4 linked regions of the Caenorhabditis elegans genome follow. The protein of the gene in region 1 interacts with the protein of each later gene in a pairwise test. Each region holds a gene or a part of one and is shown in the gene's direction. Other genes may lie near its edges. The genes, in order: nhr-41, C01G6.4, copd-1 and unc-10.

Evidence for each region.
Region 2: the proteins of nhr-41 (region 1) and C01G6.4 interact in a two-hybrid assay, tested with the Caenorhabditis elegans proteins (one large-scale study listed by BioGRID).
Region 3: the proteins of nhr-41 (region 1) and copd-1 interact in a two-hybrid assay, tested with the Caenorhabditis elegans proteins (one large-scale study listed by BioGRID).
Region 4: the proteins of nhr-41 (region 1) and unc-10 interact in a two-hybrid assay, tested with the Caenorhabditis elegans proteins (one large-scale study listed by BioGRID).

The regions. Positions count from the first base shown.
Region 1 is NC_003282.8:1,382,927-1,390,931, forward strand, and holds the start of nhr-41 (Nuclear Hormone Receptor family), read left to right. Parts: upstream 1-3,288; 5' UTR 3,289-3,362; coding exon 3,363-3,365; intron 3,366-4,916; coding exon 4,917-5,034; intron 5,035-5,087; coding exon 5,088-5,224; intron 5,225-5,289; exon of another isoform or gene 5,290-5,361; intron 5,362-5,681; coding exon 5,682-5,777; intron 5,778-8,005.
Region 2 is NC_003280.10:9,268,884-9,276,557, reverse strand, and holds C01G6.4 (RING-type domain-containing protein), read left to right. Parts: upstream 1-3,515; 5' UTR 3,516-3,533; coding exon 3,534-3,598; intron 3,599-3,780; coding exon 3,781-3,838; intron 3,839-3,886; coding exon 3,887-3,955; intron 3,956-4,005; coding exon 4,006-4,094; intron 4,095-4,600; coding exon 4,601-4,832; 3' UTR 4,833-5,293; downstream 5,294-7,674. Other genes in the region: Germ layers disorganized gldi-3, read left to right, coding at 1-353, 407-529, 573-773; C01G6.3 (Lipoprotein), read right to left, coding at 5,406-5,861, 5,909-6,031, 6,080-6,664.
Region 3 is NC_003281.10:6,619,853-6,627,648, reverse strand, and holds copd-1 (putative coatomer subunit delta), read left to right. Parts: upstream 1-2,676; 5' UTR 2,677-2,687; coding exon 2,688-2,829; intron 2,830-2,913; coding exon 2,914-3,546; intron 3,547-3,603; coding exon 3,604-3,975; intron 3,976-4,041; coding exon 4,042-4,150; intron 4,151-4,355; exon of another isoform or gene 4,356-4,408; coding exon 4,409-4,700; 3' UTR 4,701-4,949; downstream 4,950-7,796. Other genes in the region: C13B9.2 (glycerate kinase type-2 family protein), read right to left, coding at 5,455-6,056, 6,102-6,294, 6,344-6,847, 7,305-7,382; cmtr-2 (Cap-specific mRNA (nucleoside-2'-O-)-methyltransferase 2), read right to left, coding at 7,794-7,796. UniProt on the Caenorhabditis elegans protein: The coatomer is a cytosolic protein complex that binds to dilysine motifs and reversibly associates with Golgi non-clathrin-coated vesicles, which further mediate biosynthetic protein transport from the ER, via the Golgi up to the trans Golgi network.
Region 4 is NC_003284.9:7,275,944-7,284,370, reverse strand, and holds the start of unc-10 (Rab-3-interacting molecule unc-10), read left to right. Parts: upstream 1-4,048; 5' UTR 4,049-4,069; coding exon 4,070-4,138; intron 4,139-4,287; exon of another isoform or gene 4,288-4,426; intron 4,427-4,471; coding exon 4,472-4,521; intron 4,522-4,580; coding exon 4,581-4,714; intron 4,715-4,768; exon of another isoform or gene 4,769-4,853; intron 4,854-4,893; coding exon 4,894-4,964; intron 4,965-5,378; coding exon 5,379-5,566; intron 5,567-5,679; coding exon 5,680-6,016; intron 6,017-6,073; coding exon 6,074-6,218; intron 6,219-6,327; coding exon 6,328-6,416; intron 6,417-6,623; coding exon 6,624-6,679; intron 6,680-6,726; coding exon 6,727-6,908; intron 6,909-6,967; coding exon 6,968-7,067; intron 7,068-7,416; coding exon 7,417-7,589; coding exon of another isoform or gene 7,590-7,595; intron 7,596-7,642; coding exon 7,643-7,926; intron 7,927-8,025; coding exon 8,026-8,230; intron 8,231-8,278; coding exon 8,279-8,402; intron 8,403-8,427. UniProt on the Caenorhabditis elegans protein: Regulates the efficiency of a post-docking step of the release pathway. Acts after vesicle docking likely via regulating priming. May regulate the conformational changes in syntaxin.

The DNA.
Region 1 (8,005 bases):
AAAAATTGCAAAAAATTCCAGTTTTCCGGTGCATGTTGACCTCAAAAAAGTGAAAAAATGGCCCTTTGCCAATTGTTTGGACTTTTTTCTTTGGAATTTTCAAAAAAAAAAACCAATTTACCGTTGATTTGCCAACATACTCTGAAAAAGTAAACCAGATAAAAATTAAAAATTTTTTGCCCCCGACTCGAATCGAACCACGGTGTTGTGCGCCATAGCTTAGCATGTAACCAGTTGAGCCACTTCGGCCAATTTCCCGAACTTTCTGAAAAATTTTGCAAAACCTTAATTAGGCCTAATTGGGGTCAAAATGACAGAAATTTAATGGAGAATTTTCATAACAGAAATCAGCTGAAAATTGAATTTTCCTCAAAAAAGGTTTTATTCCAGAAAAAATTATACTACCGATTTTTTTTTAAATTTCTCCAATTCCAAACATTTTCCATAGCTTCATAATATCAAAATCATCAAAACAAAATAATTTACCACCTCGGGGGTTCGAACCCCGGACCTGTGAGCCACTGCCCAGCCTCTACCCAGTTGAGCCACTGCGCCCCCAAATTTTAAAATTATCAGAAACAGGGCAATATGGGGCTTAAATTTTTGGATTTTTTGCAAGGAATTCGATTTTTTGAGTTAAAATTGTTAAAAATAAGAAACAATCAAAATAATCTTTTTTTTTTAATCGAAACAAAAACTTTTTTTGGTAAAGTTCAGTTTAAATTTTCTCACATTATTACGGACACCAAGAAACACATTTGTGCTTCTTTTTCTTGTCTGTCCTGTGAACACAATGGTGCTTATCCCGTTCCATTCTTCAAACTGTCTCTCGGCTAACGTATCCGTTGATCTCCCGCCACCTTTATTGCCTATTCATCCCGAGTAGTGAAAGTGAGACATCCTAGCTTTCGAATCTTTGATACTGTCTGGCTTTCGGTTTTTAGAGATAATTTTTAAAGAACTTTGGAAAAAAAATTTTTTTTGACTTAAAAAAAAAAATTTTTCAAAATGTTTAAATTGTCAAAGTTCCCCAAAACTGATTATTTCATCACACTCAACTTGTCAAGAGCTTTCATTTAAGTATAATCATGCCCCACTTTCCTCCATTTTCACAAAAGTTGGGTCTCACAGCGCGGGGTACTGTAGGCTCGCGGTGAGACTCGGAAAATTTCAAATTGGAGCAAAGTAGGTCATGTTTATATTTGAATGGAAGCTCTCAATGAGCTGGACTCAATTTTTACGTTGATTTTAAAAGATTAATAAACATAAAAATTTTAGGGATTTATGAAAAAAAAAAATTTCAAAAAATTTCAAAAAAAAAATTACCCCAAATTTTTTTCGACCAAAAACCGATTAGATATTCATAATGACACTAAAACCAGGTATCAACTCCTATTTTTCCGCCACTTGATAGCGGATCAGAACATCGATAAGCGGATCCGAAGAGGAGCTATTTCAACAAAGTCAGAGCTTCGAGAAGATTTGTTGAAAGCTACTTGTTTTTATACATAATTTATAGTTCTAAAATATTTTCTGAAAATTTCTGAAAATGATTTTTCAGGAAGTTTTCAATAGTTTTTTACCGAAAAAAATCTTTGAAACTCTACTAAGAACTTCTTAATATAAAAACTCGAATTCTTCATCAAAATTCTAGTCAAATTGGCCCCCATATTGAGCCATTTCCTATAAGTTTGAAAAATAGGTCGCGGTGGCTTCGCTGGGTAGAGGTTGGGCTGACGCGCGGAAGACAGGGGTTCAATCCCCGCTGTAGGTGAATATTTTTGTGAGACTTTTTCCATCTAACAAGAAAAGAATCTCGAGTTGGAAACTAGGTTGAACCCTGTATGTGAAATTTTTGGCCCAAAAAACCGGAAATTTTCAATTTTCGCCGCGATGGCTCAGTGGCTAACAGGTTTGGCTGTGAATCTCGACACCAGGGTTCGACCCCAGCCGGTCCCAAATTTTTTTTCCGGTACATTTTTGATCATATGAAATGGGTAAATATTGTCGAAAAAAATTTCCAAAAAAAAATTAACAACAAATCCTCACAGCTAATACTTAAGCAACAAAGCCGCTCACCTATAAATTATCTTAATGAAAATGAAAAAAGAAAATCCGCCCCGGCCGGCACAGAAGAAAAAAATTATTTAACAGATTGAGTTCACGGCTCCGCTAAACACCGATTATCCCCCGGTAGCGGGGGATATGATTTTTGGGGATTTTTCAAGGATTTTCTATACTTTCCATATTTTGATGAAAAAAATTTTACTCCATCAGTGTAACTTTTTTGACAAAATTTGTGAGAGTTACATTTTTGTAAATTTTTTCCAAAATAATGAAAAAAATGTGTGTAATGTCAAAATTACTTTAAAACAGGGGAAACTATGTTAAATTAAGCTGTGCAAAAATGTTCTGGTGCACGTTGGGGTCGAGCCCTTGACCTTCTGCGCCATAGCCTAACATGTACCCAGTTCAGCACACATTTTCACGAAATTTCTAAAAAATTTCAAAATTATCTTAATTAGGCCAATATGGGAGTCACGTTGAAATTTAATGGAGAATTCGAATTTGACGTTTAATTTACTAAAATTTAATTTTTTCAACGAAAATTACTCGACACATGGAAAGTGTTGAAAACTAGTTTCTAGCTCGAAATTTTGTATTTTTGTCACTCAAAAAATTGCAACAAAAACTTATGACCAAGCTGGGACTCGAACCCCTGACCTTCTGCACCATAACCCAGCCTCTACCCGATTGAGCCACTTCGCCCCATTTTCCGAAATTTTTGACAATTTAAAAACTACCGAAATAGGTCAATATGGGGGTCATATTGACGGAAATTTTTTGTAAAATTCGAATTTTTAGGTTTAAAACGTTTAAACCCAAATGCTAAAGACTTAAATGTTCGTTTTCCTCAAAAGTTGTGACCTTTTTTTTTGCAACTTTGTTATACCAAAACCGCAACACATAGTACAGTTCCCCCCGCCCCCAAAATTCGTTCCGCGTTGCTATTAGCATACAATGCCCCCCACGGTCACTCACCTCTGTGTGCACTCTCCCGGTTTCGCGCACTATTTCCCACGCCGCGCGCCACACCGCTTGAAACATATTTCCAGTTGGTCAGCAGCGGCTGACTGACCGGCGGCGCGGTGATAAGGGGGAGAGTCTCCAGGAATAACGGTCTGAAACACCTCTCACTGTACTACTATATTATTCTCTCTTGTTTCTGTATACTCATGTACACTTTGCCAAAGTGCTCTGATCACCCACATCGTCCCCTTATTCTAGAAAATTCCACGTCATCAACTGGGCTAATATTTGCTGAGAGTCAAGCTTCAGCATCCCATCAAACTTGGATTAATATGGTGAGTTTTCTGAGGAAACGTTCATTTTTGTACATTTTTTAGGTTTTACTGAAGAACTAGCACTCAAATCGAAAATATTTCGGTACTTGTGTATTACATGTCCTCATTTTTAAATTAAATTAAACGGTTACTCGTGAATTTTTAGCTGCGAATCTCCAAAACCAAGCTCACGGCGAGCTCTCAAAGATCCTGAAAATAGCACTTTAACGAAGTAGTGAAGGGCCAATTTTCCAAATTTACTTTGGTAGCTCATATCTCAGCGGATAAATTTTTTACCGAAAAGTCATCAACTAATATGTTGTTGATATTTTTGTAAAGAACAAGTTTGTAGTTGAAAGTTTTTGTCAAAAAAATTGTTGTTTCAGATAGAAGCGCATGAAGTGCGGCAACTGCTGCTATTGCGATTTTAATGCTTTTATCTAAAACAAAAAACTTTTGGTAAAAACTTTTAACTACAAACTTGTTCTTTACAAAAAGTTCAACAATTTATCAGTTGATGACTTTTCTTTGAAAAATTTATCCGCAGAGATATGAGCTACCAAAGTGAATAAGGAAAATTGCTTGTTTTGATCGTAAAGTGCTTCGTTACAGTGCTATTTTAGGATATTTGAGAGCTCGCCGTGAGCTTGGTTCTGGAGATTCGCAGCTATCGAATGGCACAGGTTTCATATGCAAGTCCGATGGGCACCTTCTGACGGTTCCCTAGTTAGGAAATTTTATTTCCTAAGCCTAAAAATCCAAAAGTGTGGTTCACGTTTTTATTTTGCACAACTTAAAAAATTACTATAAAAATGAGGGCATGTAATACACAAGTACCAATATTTCAATTAAAATGTATTCAACGTTAAATTCTACACCAATTTACCGCACAATACAAAACAATTTCTGAAAAAAACTTTTTTTCGGGACAATTGTTTAAAAAATTTTTAAAGGCTAATTTTTCAATTTTTCAATTATTTTATTAAAACATTCGAATCTTCCGTCTAAAATCTCTAAAATCCGTTAATTTACCCCCATATTGCCCTATTTCCGATAAGTTAAATTTGGTCTCGGTGGCTCAGTCGGGTATCTGTTGGTCTAGACTATGACGCAGAAGACCGGGGTTCTAGTCCGGTAGGAGGGATTTTCTTTTTATTTTGATTTCTTGTACAAAATAACATGTAAAAGTCTAAATTATGGGAGTTAAAAAAAGATTTACGAAAAAAAAATTCTAAAATGAAATTCCTGTCACTCTAAAACTGTTTCAACCATCAAAACAGTTATAGTAAAAAATAAAAACCACAACTGGGCTCGAACCCTCGACCTTCTGACTCAGCCTAACCTCTGACCAGCTGAGCCACTGGGACCCAATTTTTTGACTTTTCTAAAAATTTCAAAATTTTTGTAAATTGGTCAATATGGGTGTCAACTTAACGGAAATTTCATGGAGAATTCGAATTTGACAATGAATATCTTTTAAAAAAATTCTCTGAATTTAAAGTTTGGAAAAATTGTCTTAAACAGGCTAATTAACTGGAAAGTTTATGAAAAATTATAATTTTCTTATTCCAGACGCTGGGTGACCCTTGCTCCGTCGAGCAACCCCCACCTCCACCCATCGATTTCTCACGGAGCCTAATTGCTCCGACCGCTATCAAACAAGAATCTCACCTAATTCCCTCAACGCCAGGTAATATTCTAATTAATTTTTTTCGAATAAAAAATAAATATAAATATGTTCAGGCACCCCAACAGCTTTCCAACCCCCACAGCATGCGAACACACCAATCCCTGGTATTCAGCCGAATTTGTTCAATCCGGCAATAATGGCGGCTCAACTAAACGTATTCAGCAACCCACAGTTGATGGCAATGATGCAGGTAAACTATTTTCTGCAAAAATGAGAATTCGGCAAAACTGGCAGTGCAAAAATAAAAAAATAAACTTCCCATGCCGGGAATCGAACCCGGGCCGCGTGGGTGAAAACCACGAATCCTAACCACTAGACCACATGGGAGGACGAAACGAGGAGGTCTCGAGTGCCTAGAGAAGAGTGTGCGGGAGGGGCCTGCTGACTGTAGCGGAAAAAGTTATATGGCGGGGGCAAAAAGAATGTCCAATTTTTTTCGAAAAAAAAACGAAATATCTCTCAAATTCTCGACCCTAATGAAAAATTACTATGTGTCTATGTGTGTGGAAGGTCATTCGATAACCTTTTTTTTCCCTCAAAAAAATATCATGAAAGGTTTGATCTCGTTTTCAAAAATATTTTTTAACTTTTGCCCCAAAATTTGTTTTTTTTTTGTTAAATTCTCCCTTAAATTTTTGAATTTCCAGGCTACCAGAAACCCATTGTTAGGACACCCGTCAGTTGTCGGTCCACCAATGATGCCAAATATCATTCAACAGCTAAATGCCCTTCGAAATGTTCAGGTAAAAAAAATGTTGCTCAAAGAACTTTTTTTCAAAAAAATTTTCCAATTTTTCCGATTTTCTAGGATTCCTTTTTATTTTAACACACTTTAACTATCCAAACAAACCTTGAGAAAAACATTTTCCCTTACTTGGGCTCGAACCCCGGTCTTGTGCGCTACAGCCCAACCTCTACCCAGTTGCGCCACTTCGATCCATTTTCAAAAATTTTAAAATAATTAGAATCCGGTCATTATGGGGGTCAAATTAACGGAAATTGCACGCAGAATCCGAATTTCGACATGAAAAACAATGAAAATCAATGCCTCAACCTAAAAAAACACAAAATTTTAACTAGAATTAAAACAATTTTAGGTTAGGACTTGGAGTTTTTCAAATCATTTACTAAATTTTCTGCGTATACCTAATATTCCAATACCCTTTTTTCCAAAAGTTTGGACTACAAGGACAGTGTCGCGAGCGCGCGCGCTCTCTCTAAAAACAGGTTTTGATCACCGGTCGAATTGTAGCTCCGCCCACTTTCCGGGGTCCTCAGGTGACCTCTACGCTGTTTGGCAACTTTCTAGATTAATGACTTTTACATCTCTTTTTCTCTGGGTGTGCTTTGTTGAAAAACTAATTTTTAATTAAAACTAAAGTTTTGTATTTTTTCTAAACTTTTTTCTCTACAAACTTTAGAGTTAGCATAATTTAAATAAAAAATTCGAGTTCTCCATGCAATTTCCGTTAATTTGACCCCAATTTAGACTGGATTGCGATAATTTCAATTTTTCTAATTGGGTCGCAGTGGCGCAACTGGGTAGAGGTTAGGCTATGGCGCAGAAGGCCAAGGGTTCGACCCCCAGGTTTGCCAACTATTTTTTGCAAAGTGCGTTCAACCTGACTGATTGTGAACCAATTATTTTTTGCAACTCTATTTTCGTCAAAAAAGGACATTCTTCACTCGAAAATTTCCAATAACCTAGATTCCCAGTCCGAAAAACTGTACTTTTTCCCGATTTTTGATCAATTTTTGACCAACCCACCGGGCTCCAGGGGCTGCTCCTTGACCTTTATCAGTTGATAACTGTGGCGTCTTCTAAAAACATTTTTATCGGTGACACAACTTTCCACTTTTCGATACGTTTCATTCCAATTTTTTCACCTTTCTAACCTCGCTGACGTCAATCGGTCGAAGACTGAATTTCGAAATTGTTGCTGGAAATTTGCTCATTTTTATTCATTTTTTCAAGCCTAAAATTATTTTATGCTGTGTGAAAAAAGCTTGGCTCCTCTTTTTTCTTTTTTTTGCTCTGAAGAACTCTATAAATCACTAGTAAAAGGGCATGGAGAGGCTAAAAAATTTTTGAAGTATTTTAGGAAGACGTTTTTTGTCAAGGAAAAATATTTTTTATTGATTTTCAGAAAAAATTGAAAAAAAAATTATTTAGATTTTTGCAAAAATTTTTTTAAGGTTGCAAAATTCATCTTGAAACTAGATTAAAGTCTCATATTTCAACTAAGGCAGGATCAAATCATCCCGTAAAAAATATTTGGCAAGCCTGGGTGTCGAACACTTGACCTTCTGCGCCACAGCGTAACCTCTACCCAGTTGAGCCACTTCGACCATTCTCTAAAAATTGATAGCAATCGGAAATGGGCCAATTGGGGTTAAAATGACGGAAATCTGATAGAGAATTTGATTTTTTAACTTTAAAGTGTCCACAGTATAAAGAAAATCTAGAAATTATAGTGTTCCCGGTCATTGCCTCAATTTTTGTAGGTTTTTTTTTGAAAATGTTCCACTATAACTTATTATTTTCTTTAATTTTTACTCAAAATTCAAACTTTTGATTAAATTTCCGTTCATTTGAAACCGAATATTGGCCTGTTTCCGATAAGTTTGAAAAATTGGGCAAAGTGGCTCAGGTGGTAAGAGGTTTGGCTACGGTTCTGAGGGTCATCGGTTCGAGTCCTTGAAGTGGAAATTATTTTTTCTGACTGAAAGTTTGAAGAAAAAGTGAGTAATTGGAGAAATTGTTTTTGGAAAAAGCTGTTTTTTCTCGCCAATAAAAAAAGTCTAATTATTTTTCCGAAAACTTCCTTGTTATTGTTTCTCATTAATTTATCCATTTCCTTCATTGATTTTCCGTCATTTTAACACCCATAATGGTCCATTTTCGATAGTTTTGAAAATTTGTGCAGCAGTGGCTCAACTGGGTAAAAGTTGGCGTATGGTTCTGAGGTCG
Region 2 (7,674 bases), on another chromosome or scaffold:
GGAAACAAAAAGATACATCTTCCCGAAAAATGAAACAACTTGATGAATCATCTGCTGATTCTGATTCCGAAGATGATGGAAGATCGGGCGATAAGTCTACAAAACGAAGAGATAAAGCAAGAAGATCAACCCGAATTGGAAAATCAACACCTGCAAAGAAAGTTGGAAAGAAAGAAAAAGTTGTTGAAGATGAAGATGAGACTGATGATGTTCAAGAAGAAGAGAAGGTCACTCCACGAGGAGGCCGTAGAAAAAACATGAAAAGAACAGCCAGTCAATCAGCGATCAAGGAAAGAAAGACAAAAGACAAGGACGTAGAGCCAGAAGAAGCACCGAAGAAGAAACGAGGAAGGGTTCGTGATTTTTGAATAAACTTGAATTAAATTTCTAAAACTTTAAATTACAGAAGAAGGCGACACCTACCGAAGAAGAAGAACCACCAAAAACGGAGCCAAGCAAGGAAAGATGTGGTGTAGCAAAAGGACATTGTATATCTGCCAAATACGAAAAGAGAAAAAACTTACAATGGGTACACACTCAAAATATTTTTATTTTACAAATATGATTTCCAGGTTTCCTGCTCCATCTGTAATCAATGGTTCCACGTGTGGTGTGTTCGTCTTGACAACGTTTGTTATCGAGAAGACGAGACCTTCCTGTGCTGTGGATCACATCCATCAAAAGAAGCCAAAGACGCGTTAGCCGGTCGAGTTTATGCGAGGTATCAAGCAATGCCGAATAAAAAGCCAATCCCACAGGCTTCTGAAGCTTGAAATTTTTCATCATTTGCAACAACATCTTACCATTCATTTTATCATAATTTCGCCCCAGGAATAATTAGTGACATCGAGGTAGCATTTCATTTATTAAATATTCTTTCTAATCAATCATTTATAATCCCCCTATTTCTGTATTTTAAGATCTTATGTGGAAAACGAAATTAATTTTTCAATTTCCATACAGTTAGAGTATTTCCCCTCCAAAAAAACACGTTTCGTCTGTCTCTTTTGATTATTTCGCGGGTTAAAAAACTCTTATTTATGGCCATTCGGTTGATTTTCCTCTTTTTTGCCTAGGCGATTTCTTTCCTGTTTGTTTTTTTACTTTTCTTGTTTTTATTTTTCCTCTTTTCCCCACCCAAAAACTAACAAAAAAACCCGAGTTGTGAATTGTGTGATCTCTGGAGATTCCGCACAATTTTAGGATAATCTAGCCGGCGAGATTCCCCCATCATCCCAACATCATCATCTTTTACCATCCCAATGAGTAGTGTCGTTTTGTTTTCGGTTTATCTTTTTTTTTTACAAGTTTAATTCTAATATACTCAACCGATTAGCCTAGGATAATGCAGCCAACTGACTTAAATTTCTCACTTTTCCCTCTCAATAACTCGATATTCTTTATCGAAATTTGCCTTTTTTCTGTTCAGATTTCACATCAAAAAGAATGGTGTCCCCCGAATCTTTGATATTTTGCTAAAATTTGTATTTTTCATTACTGTTCGGTGTTCACGAATAAAGTTTGATAAAGTTTGATTTAATTATCTGAAAATGTCGATTATTTAATTTTCAGTTATTGCTTAACAGATATTTAATTTATTATGTAAATTTAAGTACATTGAGAGTGGAAATAAATTCGAATTTGATGTTCCAAACAAAGCGATGCTGTATTTGAAGAAAATAATTCTGAAAAAGCAATTTATAATTTATACGAATCACAATCTTTTGCCTCAGAAACTCCTTTCATTTTTCTTTCTGGAATTTTGACCAGTGAAATTGGGACGACAATTTTTAAAAAATTAGGAGAACAATACAGTAGCCCGTCGCGCAAAATATCTCGTAGCGAAAACTACAGTAATTCTTTAAATGATTACTGTATCGCTTGTGTCGATTTACGCGTTCGATTTTTTAAATGAATAAAATTGAGCAAAAAATGAGAAAATAACACGAAGAAACGAAAGAAAATGGAATATTGCTGTCACTTTTTGAAAAAAAAAAAGATTTTGAAAATTGAGCCCGTAAATCGACAGAAGCGCTACAGTAGTCAGTTAAATAATTACTGTAGTTTTCGTTACGAGATATTTTGCGCGTCAAATATGTCGCACAATATGCATTCTCCGAGTTTTGCGTTCCTGTAATACGAAAAAGGTTACTGTATCCCAGGGTTTGGATCGTAGTTTTAGAAATCCCAAAAAAAAAGTTAGGACTCTTTGATAAAAAATTTTGTTCGATATGATTTGAAAAAATAAAGTTCCGTCAACAAAATTGACAGCTGAAGAAGGAAAAGGCGGGGCCCCAGTGGGCATGAGTGTCCCCAAGTCATGCGGTTATGTCTCTGCGTCTCTTCTTCTTCGTATACTCTCATTTCAGCTGTCTCATCGTCTGAAACTCTTATGGCTCAATGAACTCTCGTTTCAAAGAGACAGCTGCAATCGAACAGAGAGAGAAAGAGTGAAAGAGAGAAAATGAGAAGACTGCTTCGAGACACAACCACTTTTGGTCGTACTGCTTTTTTTCACCTGTTTTCACATGTATCGATTCAAGTTTTTAGAATCTAAGTTTCAAATTTTGATCACTTCAAAAATTATTAGTTATTTCTTTTTAGTCTAGACTTTCCTCGCGAGAAACATGCTTAAATTTGAATATATATCGAAATGTTGTATTTCTTATCAATAGACAACATTAATGTTTACTATCGATTAGGTTTTGTACGATTATGTCGTATAAAAATGTTGCTAATGCATTTCCTATGATTCTTGATGTTTTAGAACGGATTACGAAATTCTGCAATGATCAGTCAAATAATTTAAAGATATTTAGTATATTTAGCTACCACCTAGATACAGTAACTGATTAAATCGTCTCACTTCTTAAGTCTATTGTTAACTCTTTTCCTTAAAAAAGGGTCTTCATGTCCTATTTGTTTTGGTTTCGAGACCTGTTTTGGGCATAAATACGTGCAAACTACGGAAAGTCATTCCCGGTTTCCCAGAGAATCAATATTTGACGAGAGCTTCCGTGCACACCCAAACACACAGACACACATACACATAAAATGTTTCACAAAGTCGCTAAAAATGTTTTCTCATTGATTTTCTGGGAAGCCTGATTAATTAAAGAAGTCGCAGTGATGTTGTTCTTAAAGTTCGATGTGTAATTATGAGTAATTTTCCTTCCTGGTTTTCCATGCATGGACGTTTGAACATTATCTTACTATTAATTAGACGTCTAAAAGGTCTTGCGGCGCGAGCAGTGGGTTACTGTAGCTCGTGTCAATTTACGGGCCGAAATTGTACAATATACATTTTTTAATCATGAGTCAGAATTTTTTAAATTAAATTAGAGAAATATAACGCTATGGCAAACTGTATTTTGACACGAATTACAGTAACTTGTTGCCCGCGTGGCGAGACCCATCCGGAAAAGTCATGTAGAAAATTCTCATCTTTAGTCGTCTGAGAAATACTCCGATGTCCTCATTTTGTCACATCTTCATATATTCGACTTTTTTTTCAGCTTGATTTTCGATCGACAATGGGAAACTGCTTGCCGTCGTTGTTCGGGTTCGTCAGACAGCACGATGAGACGCCACTACGACGGTAATTTACTTTGTCATTCACTAGTATACTGTGAGATGTCGATGAAGCTAAACTGATGTGATATACCACAAAAATGAAAACGGAAGTTGTATTAACCAAAACACGTCGATTTTTTAAAAATTTAAATACAATTAGATTGTATGCTTGAAGTATAGAACAAGTTCAATAAACTATTTTTGCAGGAGCCGATCATCAGACGCAGCGATGAGCTTCACAAATCCGTCAATGATGCAACAAAGCGTAAGAAATTATTGAAGAATCTGAATTTAATTAAACTGAAATTTTCAGAGTTCGTACGTAAATCAGCTCTATCAACACAACGTAATTAGACAACGACAAGCACAGGAACAGGGAAAAGTGAGCGTTTAGAGCAGAATAATTTTAATTAAATTTTAAAAAATTCTCAGGAACTCGACGAAGCAAAAAAAAACCGAATTCGAGGACTTCTCGAGCAAATCCCTGCTGATGTATTTCGAGGAGATATGACCAGTAATGAGTAAGTTTTGAAATTCGGATCTAAATGAAAAATTAACTAAATTATTCAAACTACAATCTGACCAATATCAATTATTGTTCGAGCTACAGCAGAGGTGTTGAAAAAATTATTATCACCCAGACGCAAAATTTCACTCACAAAATATGGTTCCCGGTCTCGGCACGACAAAATTTTTGTGTACTGTGGAAGAGTGTGCGCCTTTAAAGATTACTGTAATTTTAAACTATAGATATATACGGAAATTTCATAGATTTTTAATTCTTTTTTGAAAACTCAAATATATGTGATTAAAAAATCACATACATTTTCACGAAACTTAAAAAATGATGAAATTTCCGCTGCAAGGAGAGTTTGAAAATACAGTATTCTATAAAGGCTCACACCTTTTCGCATTAAACAAAAAATTGTCGTGTCGAGACCGTGTATCGCACTTTGGCGCAAAATTTCGCGCCTGTATAATCAGTATTAATGCGCTCTAGTTAAATTTTTAAAAAAACCATTTTCAGATGTGCCATCTGTATGATCGACTTTGAGCCAGGAGAGAGAATCCGATTCCTTCCTTGCATGCACTCGTTTCATCAAGAATGCGTCGACGAATGGCTTATGAAGTCATTCACATGTCCTTCGTGCCTTGAACCAGTCGATTCAACCATACTTTCCTCGTTAACTGCCCATAATATGCAATCCTTACAACAAATCGTGTGCTCGCCGACTTCCTCATCAACTGCCAAACCATGAATGCCTTCTGCAAAAAATATTCCCATTTTCTTGCCCAGTAGAAGTTTTCGAGTTTGGTTTGCAGTGTTGGCTGTATTTGTCCCCATTACAAACGTCTGTATATAGAAATGCGTGTACATATGAACTATACCATTTCTTCACTCATCTTTCACCATTTTCATTTTGTTTCTTTTTTGCTCTGTTCCACCTGAAATCCCCATGTTGTGCATACTGTAGTCGTCTTTAATTCCTCATCATCTCCTGTTCATCTTTTTAGTCAATTCCATCCCAACGTGTTATTTTTCTTTCTTCTGTTCACTCATCTCGCTCTCTGTTCTGTAGCTTTTCTTTAATTCACCACTCGGTACACACTTTCTGTCTATGTATCTGATACTCATTTTATTGACTTCCCAAAAAAACTTCCGGCTACTCTGAAATTCAAATAAATTGCTTTTTTTTAACGCATAAAGTGTCAAATTGTCAAACTTGTTTTATTAAAAGATTCATATTGGAAATTGAAATTTGAAAAAAAGGATTGGATCCCTGATGGAAATTGGTACTCGTGGTGAAAAAAATATTAAAATTAAAAGTCAATTAAAATCCGAAAAAGTCTCGAACGGCATCCCAGGCTCCTTGATCGTAATGCTTATGGCTTAGCATGTTCACACCACGTCGTTGAGTGGTATACAATCGTGTCGGAGTGTCGGACTTCAGAATCTTCTGCGATTCTGGCAGCAATTCGGCGAATTGGCTCTTCTCCGGCTCGTGATGAGGTGTCATATCGGGCATCATAACTGGTGATCCGTTTTCAGTGGTTGGAGTTCCAAAACTAGTTCGGAGCACGAAGACACGTCCAGGAACGGTTGATTTTGTGCCATTTTGATACAAATCAACATCAGACTCGGTCGTAGCGTAAATATATCCGATTCCGAAGCTTCTGCGGAAGACAAACTCATCTTCGGTCTTGTAGGCGTAAATTGGGCAATCCGAGAGAGTACGAACGTCGCATTGGGTGTCAAATTCTTCGAAGCAGTAAATGTACGTGCCGAACTGAAAATTGAAACATTTAATTTGAAAGAGTATTCAGTAATACTAACCAAAACTTTGCATTTTTCAAGCTCAATTGGGATTACAGCTTGTTGAGTGATCAGGACGAATTGTGGAATATCATAATAGGCATAGACCTCCTCATTGTGCAAGAACTCTCCTCCATGGGCCAACTGAAATTATATTTTTTTTTTTTCTTTAAATTCACTCAAAGGACTTACCGCATAAATAGTTCCAGATTGTGGAATATCTGAAATATTGAAGCAAATCATCGTCTGAACAGTCATCTGTTTCACGTTGCAAGTCTTCGGGAATACCGTTGTCTTTTGAGCAAAGTCTAGAACATCGTTGGCTCCGGCTCTTTTGATGGTTTCTTCAGTGACTGAATCCAGGAATGGATTATTGATTTTATTCTCCAAAAATAGAGATTTGAGATCTCGTTCGAATCGAAGACTATTCCAATTGTAGTCGAAATAATCCAAATATCTCATTTGAGATCTATCCTCTGTCAGATTGTATTCTGGTTGCTCGTTCTCGGTTTGGATATTGAATTTGCGGCAAATTGCGTCGAAACTCGTGAAAATCCGCTTTTGAAGAAGCCCTCGACTGTACTCATTCATATTGTTCGTGTTGAACGAGTTGACAAACTCATTGAGATCCAAGGTATACGGTACACAGTGTTGCTTCTCCGGAATCAGACGTCCTTCACCGTAAACTTCAAACTCGATTCCATTGGCACGGAATGAGTCGAGCACTGAGCATGTGGAGAATGCAGAGCAAATTAGGAGAAGAATCAGAAGACGCATCTGAAAATCGATAAATTGAAAGTGAAACGAAAGGAAAGTTGAGTTAGATTCCAGAAAACTTTCAAAAACCAATGATGGAATGACTAAAAAATGGGAAAAGAAGAAGTAAGATTGAGGAATGAAAACTATAAATTGGATAAAAATCCCGCCGAGTTTGTGGAGGTAGGTCAAAAAAGTATTTAAGTCTAGAATATAAAGTTTGTTGAACAGCTACAAAAAAATATAATTAGATACAGTATACTCCCAGCTTGCCTATAGATGCACCTAATTCTTCTATTGTAGGCAGCCACACCTTCAGGCACATGTGCCTGCCTCAAAGGTTTATAGAATTGGAAAAACAAACAAGCAAAAAGTGTTAACAAGTGGGAGAAGGTAGGCATGTAGGCACAAAATAGGCGCGCGAATTGAACTGATTTACCAGAATAGCATTTTAGAAGTTAAAGTTTTTGCTATTAAAAAAAGAAAGAAGGGATCAACAGAGAACTAAAGGATTCAAAAAAGAAAAAGAGCCAAACAAAATATTATAAAATAAATAGAAATGACCAAAGAAAGACAGGGGTCACCTATTCGAAATGTGTCTGCACACGGTGCATATGCGCTAATGTGCACGATAAAGAGTGACCACAAATGACATGTATATCCAAGACGCGCGGAGAGACTCACCAGAACGCTGCATTGCGCAACAACAACAATACGATCGAACCGCCTCCGATATCTTTCAGAACAATGACGTCATTAGAAGGGGTCATCTGCTGTTTTTTTTGTTTTAATAGAAATAATGGATTAGGTGGCGTTGCCGCCTTTTAGATTACGATTTACGATCAGGTAAGGTGGTGTATCTGGTGACGGATTATTGTGGTGTGGTGACGGAATGGTACACAATTTGGGAAGAGTCATGAACTCAATTTGCTCAAATTTGAATATTTGGATCAATGAATGAAACTGATGCTATGGTGGACATTAAATAAATTGTCTAAAAGCAGCCTGATAAATAAAGTTTATTTACCGTA
Region 3 (7,796 bases), on another chromosome or scaffold:
AACATTTTTGAATCATTGGTTCCCACAAAACTCAGATGATAAGTAGTATTGCATGATGAGAATCCATATGATTCTTCATATGCGCATAGCTATAGATACTGTAACTTCGACAACTCCTATCTCCTCAGAGAGGCAAGATATTGAAAAGTGATTAACTAAGAAATTTTAGAACATAATAAAAACTATAATAATTAGTTAAAACCATGTGTTTATCTCTTAAGATGAGGAAGTTAGAGCAGCCATTAGAATAACAAAAAGTATGCAATACAAATGTAAGTCTAACTCCCCAATCTTGGAAGATAAAAACGTAGGTTAAATTGAATATCATAGTTTTTGATGTGCTCTACAAGTTTTCAGTTGATCACTTTTTGATATCTCGCCTCTCCGAGTAGATAGGAGTTGTCGAAGTTGAGGTATCTAGAGCTGTAGAGGGTAGGAAGAACCTCATGGATCCTTATCAAGGAAAAGAAAATATAACACCAAACTTGTAAAAAATGTTAATTTGATCATTTACGTGAGTATTTGAGCCATTTTTGAGGAAAATTGGAGAGCAACACTTACATAAGAAATTTGGCGTGGCATAGATCACTTGGTAGATTGGAATATTGATATTTGATCAGAACTATTTGTATTTTTAGTGATTTTGATTGATTTGTAACTTTATTCTATTGAAATCTTTAATTTCATAAAAGTTATTCAACTAATTTTGCCAGATTCCCCTTGATAAATGTTGCTTTACTTTTTTATCGATTTCGTTTCCAAGAAAAATCATTTTTCTGTGTTATCAGTCAAATTAATAACTAAAACTCTTTAAAAAGATTCAAACTATTCATAAAACATCTAAAAGCAAATATTTATGCAATAAATTGCTCTAAAATCAATTTTTATTTGCAAAATTCTGTTTTTCGTCAAAAAATTTTTTCAGATTCGCCGAAATTCAGAGCTCGTTTCGAGCTTATTTGGAGAAAAATTTATGTTAAAATGAAGTAAATCGCATCGCAAACAGTCTCTGGGCGGTCCCGCATGTTGAAAATTGCTTTAAAATCCCTAAAATCCAGCAAAAACGCGATATTTTACTGTTTTGCTATACATTAATTCCAATTCGTGCGACGTCTGCAGCAAACGCGCTCCCGCTCCAAAACCACTTTTTTCGCTGTTCTCTCCAGATTTGAGGCGCTGTGTATTATTGCTAATTAGCACTGCTTTTTTGCTAATTAGCAATGGTTTGCTAATTAGCCATGGTTTTAAGCTAATTAGTTCTGGTTTTTTGGCCGTTTTGCCTAATTAGCAGTGATTTTGAGTCGGTTAGCCGTGACTCGCACCTGTCTATTAAACGAGATTTCAACCATATTTGTTTAGAAAATCCGTATTGCATTATATTTGCTCCATATTAGATTAGAAATCCATGTTAGATTAGATTTCCTCCATATTTCATTAGAAGACAAATCTAATCTAATATGGTCGAAATCTAATCCAATATGGTCGAAATCTAATCCAATATGGCACGATCTCAGCCATATTTGATTAGATTTCGACCATATTGGATTAGATTTCGGCCATATTGGATTAGATTTGTTCCATATTGGATTAGATTTCGGCCATATTGGATTAGATTTGTTCCACATTGGATTAGATTTCAACCATATTTGATTAGAAAATCCATATTGGATTAGAATAGGAAGCCTATTAATTATGTCCCCATTATATTTGCTCAGTTTCTAATCAAATATGGTTGAAATCTAATTAAACTACTAAGCGTTTGTCTGAGTATACTCGCTCGCTGAGCCATTTTGGCTCGATCCTGTCGCTGAGACCTTCTTCAGACCCTTCCTCTCTTTGGCGTTGGCTTTTGTGTTGAAAAAATTTTAATTTCCAAAAGATCAAATAGTAAAACAGTATTTGCCCTGAATTCAAATCATGAACCTAATTTAAATTCTCACGTGTGACATTTTTTAAGTGCTTAAAAACGATTGAAAAACTGATCGATTCTCTCTCAAAAAAAAGATTGCTGCTAGAATTTTTTCAGTCGCGAATATTTTTTTAATTCATAAAATTTCTCTCAAATATTTGATCAAATGTGCACTCAAAGAAATTCTATGCCTGCCAAAAAAGTTTTTCCTGCTCATGGCCTAAAACTACCCTTTTCCCGGTCAGCGGCCGCGGGGAGGTCTCGCAACGAAATGACGTTTCACTGGTTGTTCGTTGGAGATTTTCATCTTTTAAGCTGATTTTTAATAGTTTCTAGCTTTAAATTTTTTGTTTTTAATTGAAAATCGAGTTATTTATGTCCCTAAATATGCTATACACTTTAAATTTCATTGAATTTGGATTAAATGGCGACGTAATTAGAGAAATTTGAAATTATTGGTGTCGTACTCCGTACTTTAAGTTTTTTGAAGCATCAACAAAATTTTTAATATATTTCCATCATTATCTCAAAACTTCACACGATTTTTTCCTAGTTTTTCCGAATTTTTACTCGATTTTTATTGGAACTCTTCACAGAACAATATAAGTTTAGATGTTTTCAATATTTAATATTGATAACCGTACTTAACTAAAATGTAATACAATTAAATTAATTATTAAACTTTCCCGTAGCATATAAGCGTAAAACCAACGTGTACTTAATTTTTCTGCTTTTTTTCCCATTTCGATGCCATTATTTCGTTTCAGAGTATTTCACAATGGTGTTGATCGCCGCTTGCATCCTCTCGAAGACGGGAAAATTGCTTGTTGCCCGGCAGTTCGTAAATGACATGATGAGATCTCGTTTGGAAGGGCTCGTTGATGCTTTCCCGAAGCTTATTGGGAATGAGAAGGAAGCTGGTCAGTTAAAAAAAGTACTATGTATATTGGAAACCCTTAGACATTAATTTTATTTCTGATTTTTAAACATTAAATTGTTTTCAGCTACTCGTCAACATACATTTGTCGAGACAGACAGCGTCCGCTACGTTTATCACCCTCTGGACAACATTTACCTTGTGTTGGTGACAACGAAAAACTCGAACATTCTCGAGGACTTGGAAACTTTACGCCTTTTCGTACGAGTCATTCCAGAGTATTGCCGCTCAAATGAGGAGAAAGAGATTCTTGCTCACGATTTTGATCTGATTTTTGCATTCGATGAGGTCGTCACTCTCGGATACCGCGAGAGCGTCAATCTTGCTCAAATCAGAACTTTCACAGAGATGGATTCTCATGAGGAAAGAGTTTTTATGCAGATCAAGGAAGCTCAAGAGAAAGCTGCCAAGCAGGCAATGGCTGAAAAGGCCAAGGAACTCAAGAGAGCTCAGAAGGAGGCTTTGAGCAGAGGGCTCAAGCCAAGTTATCAATCAAGCACAGGAATCTCTTCATCATCCACTCCAAATGCAGCTGCAGTTTCTGAGCCAGCGGCTCCACGACCATCGGCACCGAAGGGACCAATTGGAGGTGGAAAGGCACTGAAGTTGGGAGGAAAAACGAATAATGAAGATGATTTCTTGGATACATTGAGACAACAAGGTCAAAGCATTGCACCAGTACAGAAAGCTAGTCTTTCAGGTAATCAACTTTTTTTGATATTAAATTTATTTTACATATAAATTTTATAATTTTCAGGAGGAGTTTCCTCTCTCGCCGCACCGATCTCCACAGCTCCACGTGTCAAGAGAGAAGTCGTTCACGTTAGAACTGAAGAGAAAATTAATACCCGTGTCAGTCGTGATGGAGGGCTCGAATCAGGAGAAGTACAAGCCACTGTTACCCTCTCTATTGGATCTCCCGAATTTATTCCAATTTCAATTAAAATGAATAATGGATCTGCAGCTGGAACTCAACTTCAAGTTCATCCAAATCTCGATAAGAAGGAATGGCAATCTTCGTCGACACTGAAAATTAAGCCGAACGGAAAACCATATCCAGTTAACTCAGATGTGGGAATTCTCAAATGGAAAATGGCACTTTCCGAAGAAGAGCAGTTGCCAATTTCTTGTAAGTTAGAAGACAAACAATTCACAATTGTATTGGTATAATTTTCAACCATTTTGCAAATTTCAGTCAATTGCTGGCCTCAAGAATCATCTGATGGAGTCCAAGTCAATATTGAGTACACATTGCAAAGAGAGGACATCACTTTGAACAATGTTCGCATCATTGTGCCACTTCCGTGAGTTTTTCAAAGTTTATTTTGACAATTTTGGTATACATATCAGTCCTGCCGTGTTTTCCAACAAAAACCTTTTAGTTCTCTTGGTTTTTCCAAAATCTGAAAAAAAAATTTTAAGTTTTCAAAAACCCAAAAATTTTCGTTCAGTTTACAATTTTCCGGCTTATCGTTTTGTTGGTTTTGCTTGAATGAAAACAGAAAAAATATTCGAAGGCACCTTTATCATTCCATATCATGTGAGTAAGTATTATTTTTCAGAACTGCGACAGCTCCATCCGTTGGTGAGTGTGATGGAGAATATGAGTACCACAAGACGAAGAACGTGATTGTTTGGTCCTTAGCTGTGATTGACAGCTCGAACTCTTCGGGAACCCTTGAATTCTCAGTTCCAAATGGCCATTGTGATCATTTCTTCCCTGTCTCCGTTGGATTCACTTCTGAAAACTTGTTTGTGCCGATTACTGTACAAAAAGTTGTGAAAAATGATGGATCGCCGGTAACTTATTCAGTGGAGACTACTTTCAACTCGGAAAATTTCGAAATTGTGTAATTTATTCCTATTCGAGAGATCTTCAAGATTGATATTTTTATTGCTTCCAATACCACCACCAAGCCACTAATTTTTCTAGAGATTCATGATTCCTTTTTTGCAAATCATGTTATCCCTTTGATTGCTGTGATGCATAAGCCACTCTCCTCCGACCCAATTCATACTGTATTTATTGAGAATATTTTAATTTATGTATGCTCTTCTATTTATTTCCATTTCTTTTGGGTTTTACGGATACATTTTTTTTGTACGATTGTTTTTCAAACATTTCAATGAGAATATAGAATCGAGTAGTCAGTATCAGAGTATCAGTATCAGTAGAGTATCAGAGGTGGGCGGATATTTTTTCGGATATTTTCTAATAATGAATTTATCAATAAGTATTGATGTAGTTATTCTGGAAGAAATGTATCCGAACCAAAGAGTAACTATTAAGCAACATTTTAATATGATAAAACCTAGAAAAATTCTACAAGTTTTCCTTACCGAGACCTTAAAACTTATTAGCCGAGCAACATCGGATATCGGATACTACGGATATTACGGATATCGGATAATGGACTTGCATATCGTTTATACAGAAAACTTGTAGAATTTTTCTAGGTTTTATCATATTAAAATGTTGCTTAATAGTTACTCTTTTGTTCGGATACATTTCTTCCAGAATAACTACATCAATACTTATTGATAAATTCATTATTAGAAAATATCCGAAAAAAATATCCGCCCACCTCTGGTTTAAATTGAATATTCATTAGAGCTGATCTAGAAGCAAAATCTGAATATCCATCACATTAGTTCCACTTGGTCCAGTTAAAATATGATTCGCTCCTCCTTTGAATTGTCTCCAAAAATTATAGGAATCCGAATTTTGCAAAAATTCCGAACTGTTGAGAAGAGAATTTAAAGGCAAATCTTCATTGCTTATGATTGCTCCGGCAGCATCCGTAGGTCCATCTTGTCCATCAGTTCCAGCACTCAAAAAAGTGAAATTATGAGCTGGAACTCGCGTCTTCAAAGCATCCAGACAGCTCAGTACCATTTCCTGATTGCGACCTCCTTTTCCTGGATTTTCAGACAAATGAACAGTTGTCTCACCACCAAAAAGTAGAGCAATTGGATAATTTTCGATAGTTAAATTCGAGTTTTTTAAAAGATGACTCGAAGTTATTGATTTTTCAGTAATAATTTCAGCAAACTTTTTTCCGATTTCAGCAGCATTTCCAGACAATGATGACGTCACAATTGTTGAATTATAACCAGAAGAAGTTAAATATTCAGCAGCCGCTCGAAGAGCAAAGTTGTTGCTTGAAATTATGAAGTTTTGGAAACGTGAAGTATTTTCAGGGAGTTGTTCTGAAAATTATAATATTTCATTACAATTACTATATTGGTACCCACCTTTTTCATGATTCTCCAATACATTTTTCACATTTACCGGAAGTTCCAGTTTATTAATTTTTAAACTTTCTAAAATGTTGGAAATGATGAACTTGTCTTGTTGATGGGCAGGGATTACTGTAGGTCCACTGGCAATGAGCTCCACAGGATTCCCGATGACGTCAGATATGATGAGCGCAATGGAGCATCCTTTCTGGAATTTAAAGTTTATAAAAACTAATGAGTTCTTCACAGAACAAAACCTTAATCTCTCTCAAAAGTTTGCCACCTTTCACATCTGAGAGATTCTGCCTAATGGTATTCAGCTCTTGAATTGTAGCCCCATGTGCTTGCATAATTCTTATAGTTTCCAATTTTTCAGCCAAATCCAATGGAGCACTGGGTGAAGTCAATAAAGCTGAACCTCCACCGGAAATTAGAAAAAGAAAAATCGTGGATTCAGAGTCGAAATCTCGAATTTCAGAAATGACTTTTCGGGTCGCAAAAACTGATTTCTCATCAGGAAGATTATCTCTTGCTCCGTATAATATTTCAGTGTCATTTTCTAATTCATTTTCAATTCCTTTTTGTTGTTCCGGTGCAATTACAATTGTTTTCTGTAAAAGTGATGACTTGAGCTGGTCTCTTGCTCCTTTTGCCATTAGAATCGATGCTTTTCCGAATGCAATTACGACGATTTTAGTGGAATTAGACAATGAATAGTTGTAATCAGCAATTTTCAATAAGGACGGATTCAAGGAGATTGCCTGGAAGATTTTCAGTTGAGCACGTTTTTAAAAAGGAAAAATTCCGAACATTTTATTACACTGACGGGAAAATAAGTGTATGTTGTCTAAAATGATACCAGGTCTCGACACGACAAACATTGGTTAAAATGATGCGCGCATTTAAAGAGTACTGTAGTTTCCGATTCGTCATTTCTGCGTGATTTTTCTCTGGTTTTTAAGGTTTTTTCTCGATTTCTTAAAATTTTATTTGTTTTCAGAAAGTAATTAATTTTTGATTGAAAAGTGTGGAAAATCAATAAGGATTCTTTAACAAAAAGTAGTTTGAAACTACAGTACTCTTTATTTAAAGGCGCAAACCTTCTTGCCTTGAACCAAAAATTGTCGTGTCAAGACCGGTTACCGTACTTTTGGCGGAAAATTGCGACGGTTCGTATCTGGGCAATAGTATGTTTTCAAATCTTTGAAATAAACTTACATTTCTGACAATTGAACGGGGCTCCACAGCCAACAGGCATTTCTCAAAAGCTGTTCTAACTGCTTTTCGAGTAGCCATTTACGAATTTCGGCTGGAAAAATAAATTTTTATAAAAGTTGATCTTTTTGAACGCTTATAAACATGATAAAATGTTGAAGATACAATAAACTTTGAACTGGTTGATCTTTTTGGACATGTGGTTTATCTAGATTTCAGACCGCCTTTCGAGAAATGAAATAATTAAAGGACGATATTTACAATGCATTTTTTTTTTAATTCATAGACAACTACATAATCAATAAAATATTTATCAACATTTTAAGTGCAATATTTGAACCTTATGGCAGCAATTGAAAATTATTAAAATCACATATATCCAGGGAGCAGTGTAGAGATACAGTTATTCAAGATATCACTTGATGTAGAGTTCAGAGATTCGGGTTTTGAAGGCAGAATGTGGCGGTGTATAGACTATTTGAAAAAGTGAAACTA
Region 4 (8,427 bases), on another chromosome or scaffold:
TTTTCCTCAAAATTACCAGGTTCTAAACATATTATTAATCTATAAGATATTAGACCAAATGCACATAGTGTAAAAGAAAATTTAGCATGTAATTATAGGATTCAAGCTTTTTTAATACCTTTCGAAATAGACCCCTATAATTTCTTCACTGATCTTTTTCAATCAGAACGAACATTTGTTTTTTGCTGCATTGAGGCAATCGAGCTAACAATTTTCAGACGGTAAAGTACCGAAATCTGTGGCCTTGCTCTTTTATACCGAAAAAAGTCTAAAACTATCTGATTGCGAAACAAGTCGTTCTGAAAATTAAAAAAAAAGTTATGCCGGATTAAAGTATTCGGAAAACAAGGCTAAATTTCAGCTAAAATCTTTATTTTCCAATTTATCAGTGCCGAAGTGCATTTGTACATTGTGCACCCATCGACATTAAAACAAAAACAATCTTAATCAACGGAACAAAACTTAATCAATTTCCGAATTATGCATAGTGATATTATGGAGAGAGAGAGTGATATTAGAATACAATTACTTCCATGAGTTGTGACTTTGATAAAATAAAAAATGTTTAGATTTTAGCTGAAAGTAAGTTTTATTCCGAAACTTTGAACCTCCTTAACTTTTTTTTTTTAATTTTTGGAATTTTTACAAAATCCGGTACTTTTGACTCATTTTAAATCTAAAAAGCAAATTCTAAAAGCGCGATGAGTGTGTCTATTCCACCTTTAAAAATATCTAAAAATACATGATTATTAAAAGTAGAATATAACACTTTTAACTCCCACTCCGGTAGTTTTTTTTTCAAATATAGCTTTTTGACCCATTGCATTTTGCGTTTTTTCACTTCACTTCCCCTTGCACCTGAAATATTCAATTTGCACCCAAAAAAGAGAGCACTTCTCTGTAGTACAAACATGCGCAGTCTGTTTCTATTCTTCCACAACTCTCTGCACCTTTGTTTCCATCAGTATTCCCACATGCACTTCTTTTCCTTGTGCCCTCCAAAAAATATTTTATTTTCTTACGAATCCCACGTTTTACCCACATTGTCAGTGGACCACTGATTGCTGTCAGCTTTTGCCAGGGAAAACCTTTTACCAATTTCTCTCTATCTTTCGTTGTCTTTTTTTTGAAAATTTTCATACACACATAAATGGACATACATTCTTGCGACAACGACACAAGACCCTTTCTGGGTCCTTCCTAACCTTTTTCCCTGCTCGAATGTTTGCAGACGCAATAGTTGAGTGATGTCAGTTATTGACGGAATGTTTTTTGCCTTCTCTCACGTCCACTTTTTCTTGCCCAATACGTTGAAACATTCGAACTGCGCTGAGAAATTGACTCTGTTTGAATTTTGTAAAATTTTCGATGGTAGTTTTTCTAGGTTTTAACTTAAAATTTGTAAATAGCTTTATTAAAACAAAAATAAATTTTTATTTTATTTTTTAATATACTTTGAAACATCTCCATGCTATTTTCAAACAGTTTTTGCTCAGTTCGTGAACTATTTTTTTCCGTACTTTTGAGAAAGTTTTGAATCTGAAAAAATACTTTCTGGATTTCATAAGTTGTTATTCCAAAATTATATATTTAAAATGCAACAATAACTTTCAAAATTATGCAAAAATTATTAAAAGATAAGAAAAACGGGTACTTGTGTATTACATGCCCTCATTTTAAAAGTAATTTTTTAAGATAAAAAAAATGAAAACGTGAAGCATATTCTTGTATTTTTGGGCTTAGGAAATAACCATTTCTAAGCCTAAAAAGGAAAAATGTAAAAAACCCACACACGCAACTTGGGTATTTCAAATATAGTGTTTTTAAAAGTGCATATTTTAAGAGTAATAGTATTAAATAATTTTGATGTGACTTCAATTGTTTTCAGGAACATTTTATGTTTACCATAACCACAAAAACATATACATAAGTAAAAAACAATCAATTGTTTTATCTCGTAGTGGGTTTTTATAGGTATACTTATATTATGATCACTCAAATAACAGATAGAGTTTGAAAACAATTTGAAAATATGTTAAATTGTCATTCATTTTTCAAACTTTGTCCAATTTGATGAAATGTGATTTGAATGCCTTATTTTTAGGTTCAGAAACAGTTTTGTCCTCAAGAAAACCGTACTACGTTTTCACATTCATAACTTTGAAATTCGTTCCGATAGCGTTCCGCTAATAAACAAGAACTCTCAAATGTCTCTGATATATAACAAATCTGAAAAGTATTAATGCACTTCCAAAAGGTAATCTTTATCTTTGAAACATCACATTTACCCATCTAGAAGTTTGTTAATTCTGTTTCTTGTCAGCTATATGAATTGATTCATAACGGATTTTGTCCGCCTTTTATATATCTTCTCATAGTTAATCTAATCTTCAAATCGTGAAAACTCTTTTCATATAACACATTTAGAAATCCAGCCGATGGAATAGGAAAATAGTATATATATATATATATATGGATATGGATATATAAGTGTTGCGAATGTTTAATATTCTCTTTTTTTGAAAAGTTTGTTCGATTGTTGAACAAAAATGTTTTGCTTTTGCTGTGAGTTTTAATAATTAGTTACTTCATAGTCCTAGTAGGAATTCTGAACGTATCTGAAAGGGCATTGAAGGGGCGTGAACTTTTTGGAAAGGTGATCCCTCGTCCTGTTCCCTGTTTGTCTGTCCCCTGTCCTCACCTCCTTCGTCTTCTTTTTCTGTCGTTTTATACTTCTCTTTGCTATGCATTCATGAACAGATAATCCAATTTGAGGCTGAGGCCTGCGTGTGTATGTGTGTGTATGTGTGGAGGCCCTCCAACGAAGAAAGAACAAAACTTGGCAATCTTGAGCATATTGGATAAGCTGCCCGCTGAGTTGCTAATTGTCAACGTTTGGCACAAACGCCACATAGAGCCATCTCGGGATGGAAAGGGAGAGAAGACTGGTTGGGGGAGAAAAGAAGGGTAGAGCCTTTGGAGCATTTTTGTGTTTTGCGGGCGTTGCTCCATCCCTTCGTCGTTTTCTCCACCCTGCGTTTGCGCATCAGTCGCCACACGCCGCTAGCCCCCGAGTCCTAAACCCCTCCCTCCCATCTACACACATCCATTTATTTATTAGAAGAGCTCTGAGTAAAACATGAACTATTCGCTATCCGTGGCCTTGTTTTATTCATTGCTTATATCGCATTCGCCCGGGTTTTCCTCCTGGGCGCGCCTTGTCTTTTTTCTTTTCCTCCCGTTTCACCTCCGTTTTTCCTTTCGCCCTCTTTCTCTTTCCTTACGGATACGGGAGGCTCCCCCCACCCCTATCTTCAAACCTTGTCTTTTTTCCGTGCTCAGGGAAACGAGCATGAATTCATTGTCTCAAATGAATGTCTCCTTTTGTGCATCATTAATCTTGCATCGAATTTTGCTTTTTATTCTTACATGCTTTTGTCCACTTTGCACAAGCTGTCCATTTTTTGTCAATTCAAACATCAGCTTGAACCTTTACCTGTCCATGGTTGGCCTTTTTTTATGGCGAAACCTGGCGAACCCAATATCCATCACCCTTCTATTCCTTTTCTTTTCCCGTTTTCCTTCGCTTCCCACTTCCCCACCTCCTACGCTTATTTCTTATTCCTTTCCCGTTTTAGTGCTCTCTTTCTCTTTTTTGCAAAAAGTTCTTGATAGCAGTAAAGAAAAGAAGAGGAAGACTATTTTTGGATGTCCCGAGTTTCCCACGGTATTCATCGACGTCGTCGTCGAAAATGACCACATCCAGTCTTACTGGGCGCTCATGTCTTGGAAAAGGCGTCATTTTTCAACGTTTCTAATCCCGGACGCTCTTATTTTTCCTCTCTCGGTTTCCCCATCTTTGACGCTGTTCTTTTTTTGTTTCAGCGTTGATCCTGTTTTCTTGTTGGCCTTTATTGACATACAACTCTTAAACCGAACAAATTCGTTTCTATTCTTTCTATTCGGATTGTTATCGCGCTTTAGTCTTTTTATACGCTATGATTTCACATGATGCAATAACTCCTTATTACCTTAAAAATCAAACTTCAGTGCCTCATTAAATATAATCATGGACGATCCGTCGATGATGCCGGATTTATCCCATTTATCTGCAGAAGAACGTGAAATAATAGAAAATGTGAGTTGTTCCAGCACGAACCCCCTCCCCCCCCCCCCCCCCCCCCATCGTTCATTTTGCCCATCCGTCTGCTTCTTGTGGGGTTCAAAAAAGTAGTTGGTGCGGTGTGAGTCCTCTGTCTCGGAGCATGACGGGCCCCCCGAGGGGTGAAAGAGCGAGAAAAGGGGAGGGGTATTACTTACAACGCCGTGAGCACACGCAAAATAATGGATATGCAATCAAACGAGTGTGTGCTCTTATGTACATTCGACAAGAAAATTGGCATGATATCATGCGTGCACATACATATAGAGAATACTCACTCAGAACGCTCATGATTTATGTTTTTTGCAGGTCTTCAAACGACAAAAAGATGAGGAGGCAAAAGAAACACAAATATCACAGTAAGAGTTTTGTAGACACATAATTGCATTGGTATTTCTTCATGCGAATGATTTTCCAGAAAAGCATCTGAAGAATTGTCAGAGTTAGACAAACAGATCACGGAGCGGAAAGAAACATCGAAAAAGCTGGTTGGCACACAAGATGACGCGATCTGTCAAATCTGTCAGAAGACCAAATTTGCGGACGGAATTGGTACGTTGTTCCTTTTCCTGAAGAAGCGATGAGAGCAAAGGGTCCTTCTGTCGCCCTGAGATGAGCCTCGTTTTCTGTTCCTAGTAATTCTCTCCGCGGCGTCAGAGAGCCCCTAACCCTTGGCTGTCATCGTCTCTCTAAAAGGACATCAATTTAGCACAAGATGAGAGGTTTTTCAGGCCACAAGTGCTTTTATTGTCAATTGCGTAGCTGCGCCAGATGTGGAGGTAGAGCACAGAGCAAAAATAAGGTACGAGCGGGAGTGAAAGTGTGGGATGAAATAAGGGGAAACATGAAAGAGAAAGGACAAATTCTGGATGACTGCATTTGAATAACAGAATAAAAACCAATTTGAGCAAAATCGACTTGAACATTTTTGCGATATGATGTTGCAATGTTTATATTTTCACAAAAAAAATCTAAACTTTACAATTTATTATAAAATCATGTTTAATTTTATAGTTAATGAATCTAATTTGGAAATCAAGCGAAATAATCGTTTTTACATCTAAAAAAATACGACAGAAGCTGAAAAACAATAGCATCCATTGTTTGCAAAGTAGTTTGGAATAAAGAGATAAATAGAAAGTATTAGCCCCGTGGGTGCACCGACCGATAAAAAAGTAGAGAAGTGAATTGAAGAGAAGAAGTAAAAAGCTTTCAGGCAATCTGGGCTTGTTCGTTGTGCCAGAAACGTCAACAAATTCTTGCCAAAACAGGCAAATGGTTCCAACCCGAAGAGCAGCCGCAGCCGAAAATTAGCGGCTCCGAGCCAAGCCCTTCGCCCCAACCACTAACTGACGACAACGTACCAGAACCGCAGCAGAGGCGAGCAGAGCCGCCTGATAAAATGTGAGTTTCTTCCGGTTTCTTTTACTTTTCCAAGTTTGTGTTTGATTGTTACATGTTCCTTTGAAGCGTTAGTTTCAATCAATCACAATTCAGACTAATTTTCATATTTTCAGGAACACTCCAAATTATCAAAACAACCAACAACCCCGTGGAATGGGAATGCAGCCAAATCATAATCAAACTCAGCAGAATTTCATGAATCAGAACCAAAATTCAAATCAACATCCAAATCAAAACCACAATCAGAATCAAATGCAGAACCCGCATCAAAATCAAAATCATGTTCAAAATAATCATCAAGGAGCCAACAATCATCAACAGAATAATCGAAGAGCTATGCAACAACAGCCAATGAGTCAAAATCAGGCAAATCAGATAAATCAGATGAATCAAAACCAAAATCAACAACAGAGCCACAATCAGAATATGACTCAAAACCAGAGAAACCAGGTACTTGAAGTTGGAAAGTTCCACGATTATTTCAAATTCTACATGTAAATAATTCAGACTGGCCCCCAAAACCAACAAAGGACAAATGACTCTCGAACTATGAAACAAACGCCTCAACAGCAGCCCAGTCAGTATCAAAACAACGTAGGCGCGGCACATCAACACCATAATCAACATGGACAACAAGAGCAGCATCATCAACGTAAGAGCCTCCAGGGGTATAAAAAGAGAAAGTGAAAAACAAAACAAAAAAGTGTTGTGCGCTAAAATTGCGAACGAGACGCAAATTGATATAGTCTGGATAATTTCAGAAATGAATGAACAACGGACGGATAACAACAGAATGAGAGAGAATACTAACGGGCAAGGAGGAATGTTCAATAGGCAGCCGTCATTAGAGGTGAAGGGATCAGGGATATCAAAAACGAGCTTTTGAAAAAAGATTGAGCAGCTTATTATTAGGGTGATACTTCTGTAAAAGTAATGAACAAATGTGAAGAATCATCTAGAGCGGAAAATTTGGTCAGAATTACAGTACTGTCGTACAAAGTTCAGAGTAGAAAAATATATTAAAATGAAAAAAAAAACGAAATTGTTTCTAATTTAGCAAACTACGCCCATGAACAAATACAATCACGTTGAGGATGATGGCATGAACCAGCGGTAAGTATCCCATAAAGTTTAAAAACTTGATACCCACTTGCTTTCAGACCCACGTTCTACACTGGAAATTCCGAGAATGACCAAAGACAATTTGATGGCCAAATGCAACAGGGCTCACAACAAAATAATCAGAATCAGAACCAAAACAACCGAAATCTTAGAAAAAACACAGTCAGCCGGGTAACAGAGGAGGATTATGCAAGTTCGTCAAACTTCGAATCTAAGAAACGTAAGATGATATCATATCGATAATACCTTGCTAAATTCTATTTTGAGAATCAATTTCAGAGCGGAACAACTCTTCACAGAGTCAGTCCAACACGCAAGGCGTGCGAGCATGTCCTTCTACTGACGACCATTTGAACCGGGTGAAAAATCGATTGCATAGGTGAGCAAGTGTAATTTGGCTAATGGAAAAAATAGACAAACTCAATTGAGTAATGTCTTTTTTGTACTAAGTGCTCAAGCTTTGAGTTCATTGCTTTCCCTCTTCCAGTTACGTCTCCATTTTCTCATTATTTAGCATGACTTCCTTTTTGTTCTGCTGATCACTTTTTTAGTCAAACCAACAGCAAAACAGAAACCAGAAGAGCGCCTTTCGGTTTCAATGCAAATTTTTAATGAGCATTGCCTCATTTAGCTTTTTTCGCTCTTCATCAGTAGTTCAATTTCACATAAACTGCATTTTTTGTCATACATTCTTCTTCATTTTATTTGTTCAAAGTAATTGTTTGAAGGCAACTTCGATCAATGTCATCTTCTGAAGAGGATATTATTGCTGGAGGCGGTGGTAACACTTTGAAGATGTCTACGTCAGCAGTTGTGGCCTCTGGTGGGAAAACCGCATTTCATGATGATATGGGAGCGTCGAATGTGCAGAGGTTGTCCGAGGAATGCAATTCTGAGAAGGGTTTGTGTGCGTACTCTTGAAATCCCATGTTGACATTTTGATGAGTTTTTCAGACCTCCTTCGATATATTTATGGCGATCATAAAAACTCGGATTCATCGTCGTTGGGCGCTGGTGTAGGCGGCAGTGGTGGTGGCGGTGTCTTGAGCGGAAACAGCGTGCTGAAAAGTAAATCACATGCTTTACTGAAGGGGTCTTACCAAGGGGGTTTAGACATGCAAGCTAATCGAAGGCGTGACAAATCGCTGTCCTTGTCACCATCGAGAAATGATCATTTTGGAACAGGGAGCATATCTGGCGGAGATTTGTTGGCATCACGGATACGAACATTTTTATCAGTAAGCCTGTTTTGATACAAAAATTATAACTAAATGTCCTACATATTCAAAAAAAAAAGTTTAAAAGTTTGACAAGTTTCCAATTGGCAATGTTTTCAGCATCCTGTAACATGGCAACCTTCTGCTGATCAGAAAAAATTAATAGGGCACATGATACTTCATCGAACTGAAAATTCTGCAGCCAACGGGGATCTCGGTTTAAAAATTGTAGGCGGCCGAAGAACGGATACCGGGAAGCTCGGTGCATTCATTACTCAAGTTAAGCCTGGCAGTGTGGCGGACACCATTGGAAGACTCCGTCCTGGTAATGAGTTTTGAAGTGAGAGACTTTTTTCTTCAACTTTTTTTTCAGGCGATGAAGTAGTAGAATGGAATGGACAGTCTCTGCAAAATGCCACATATGAACAAGTATATGATAGCATCGCTGCAAGCAGATATGATACTTCTGTCGAGCTGATTGTTAGTAGGAGTGCAATGTAAATATACATTTTATTTTTAAAC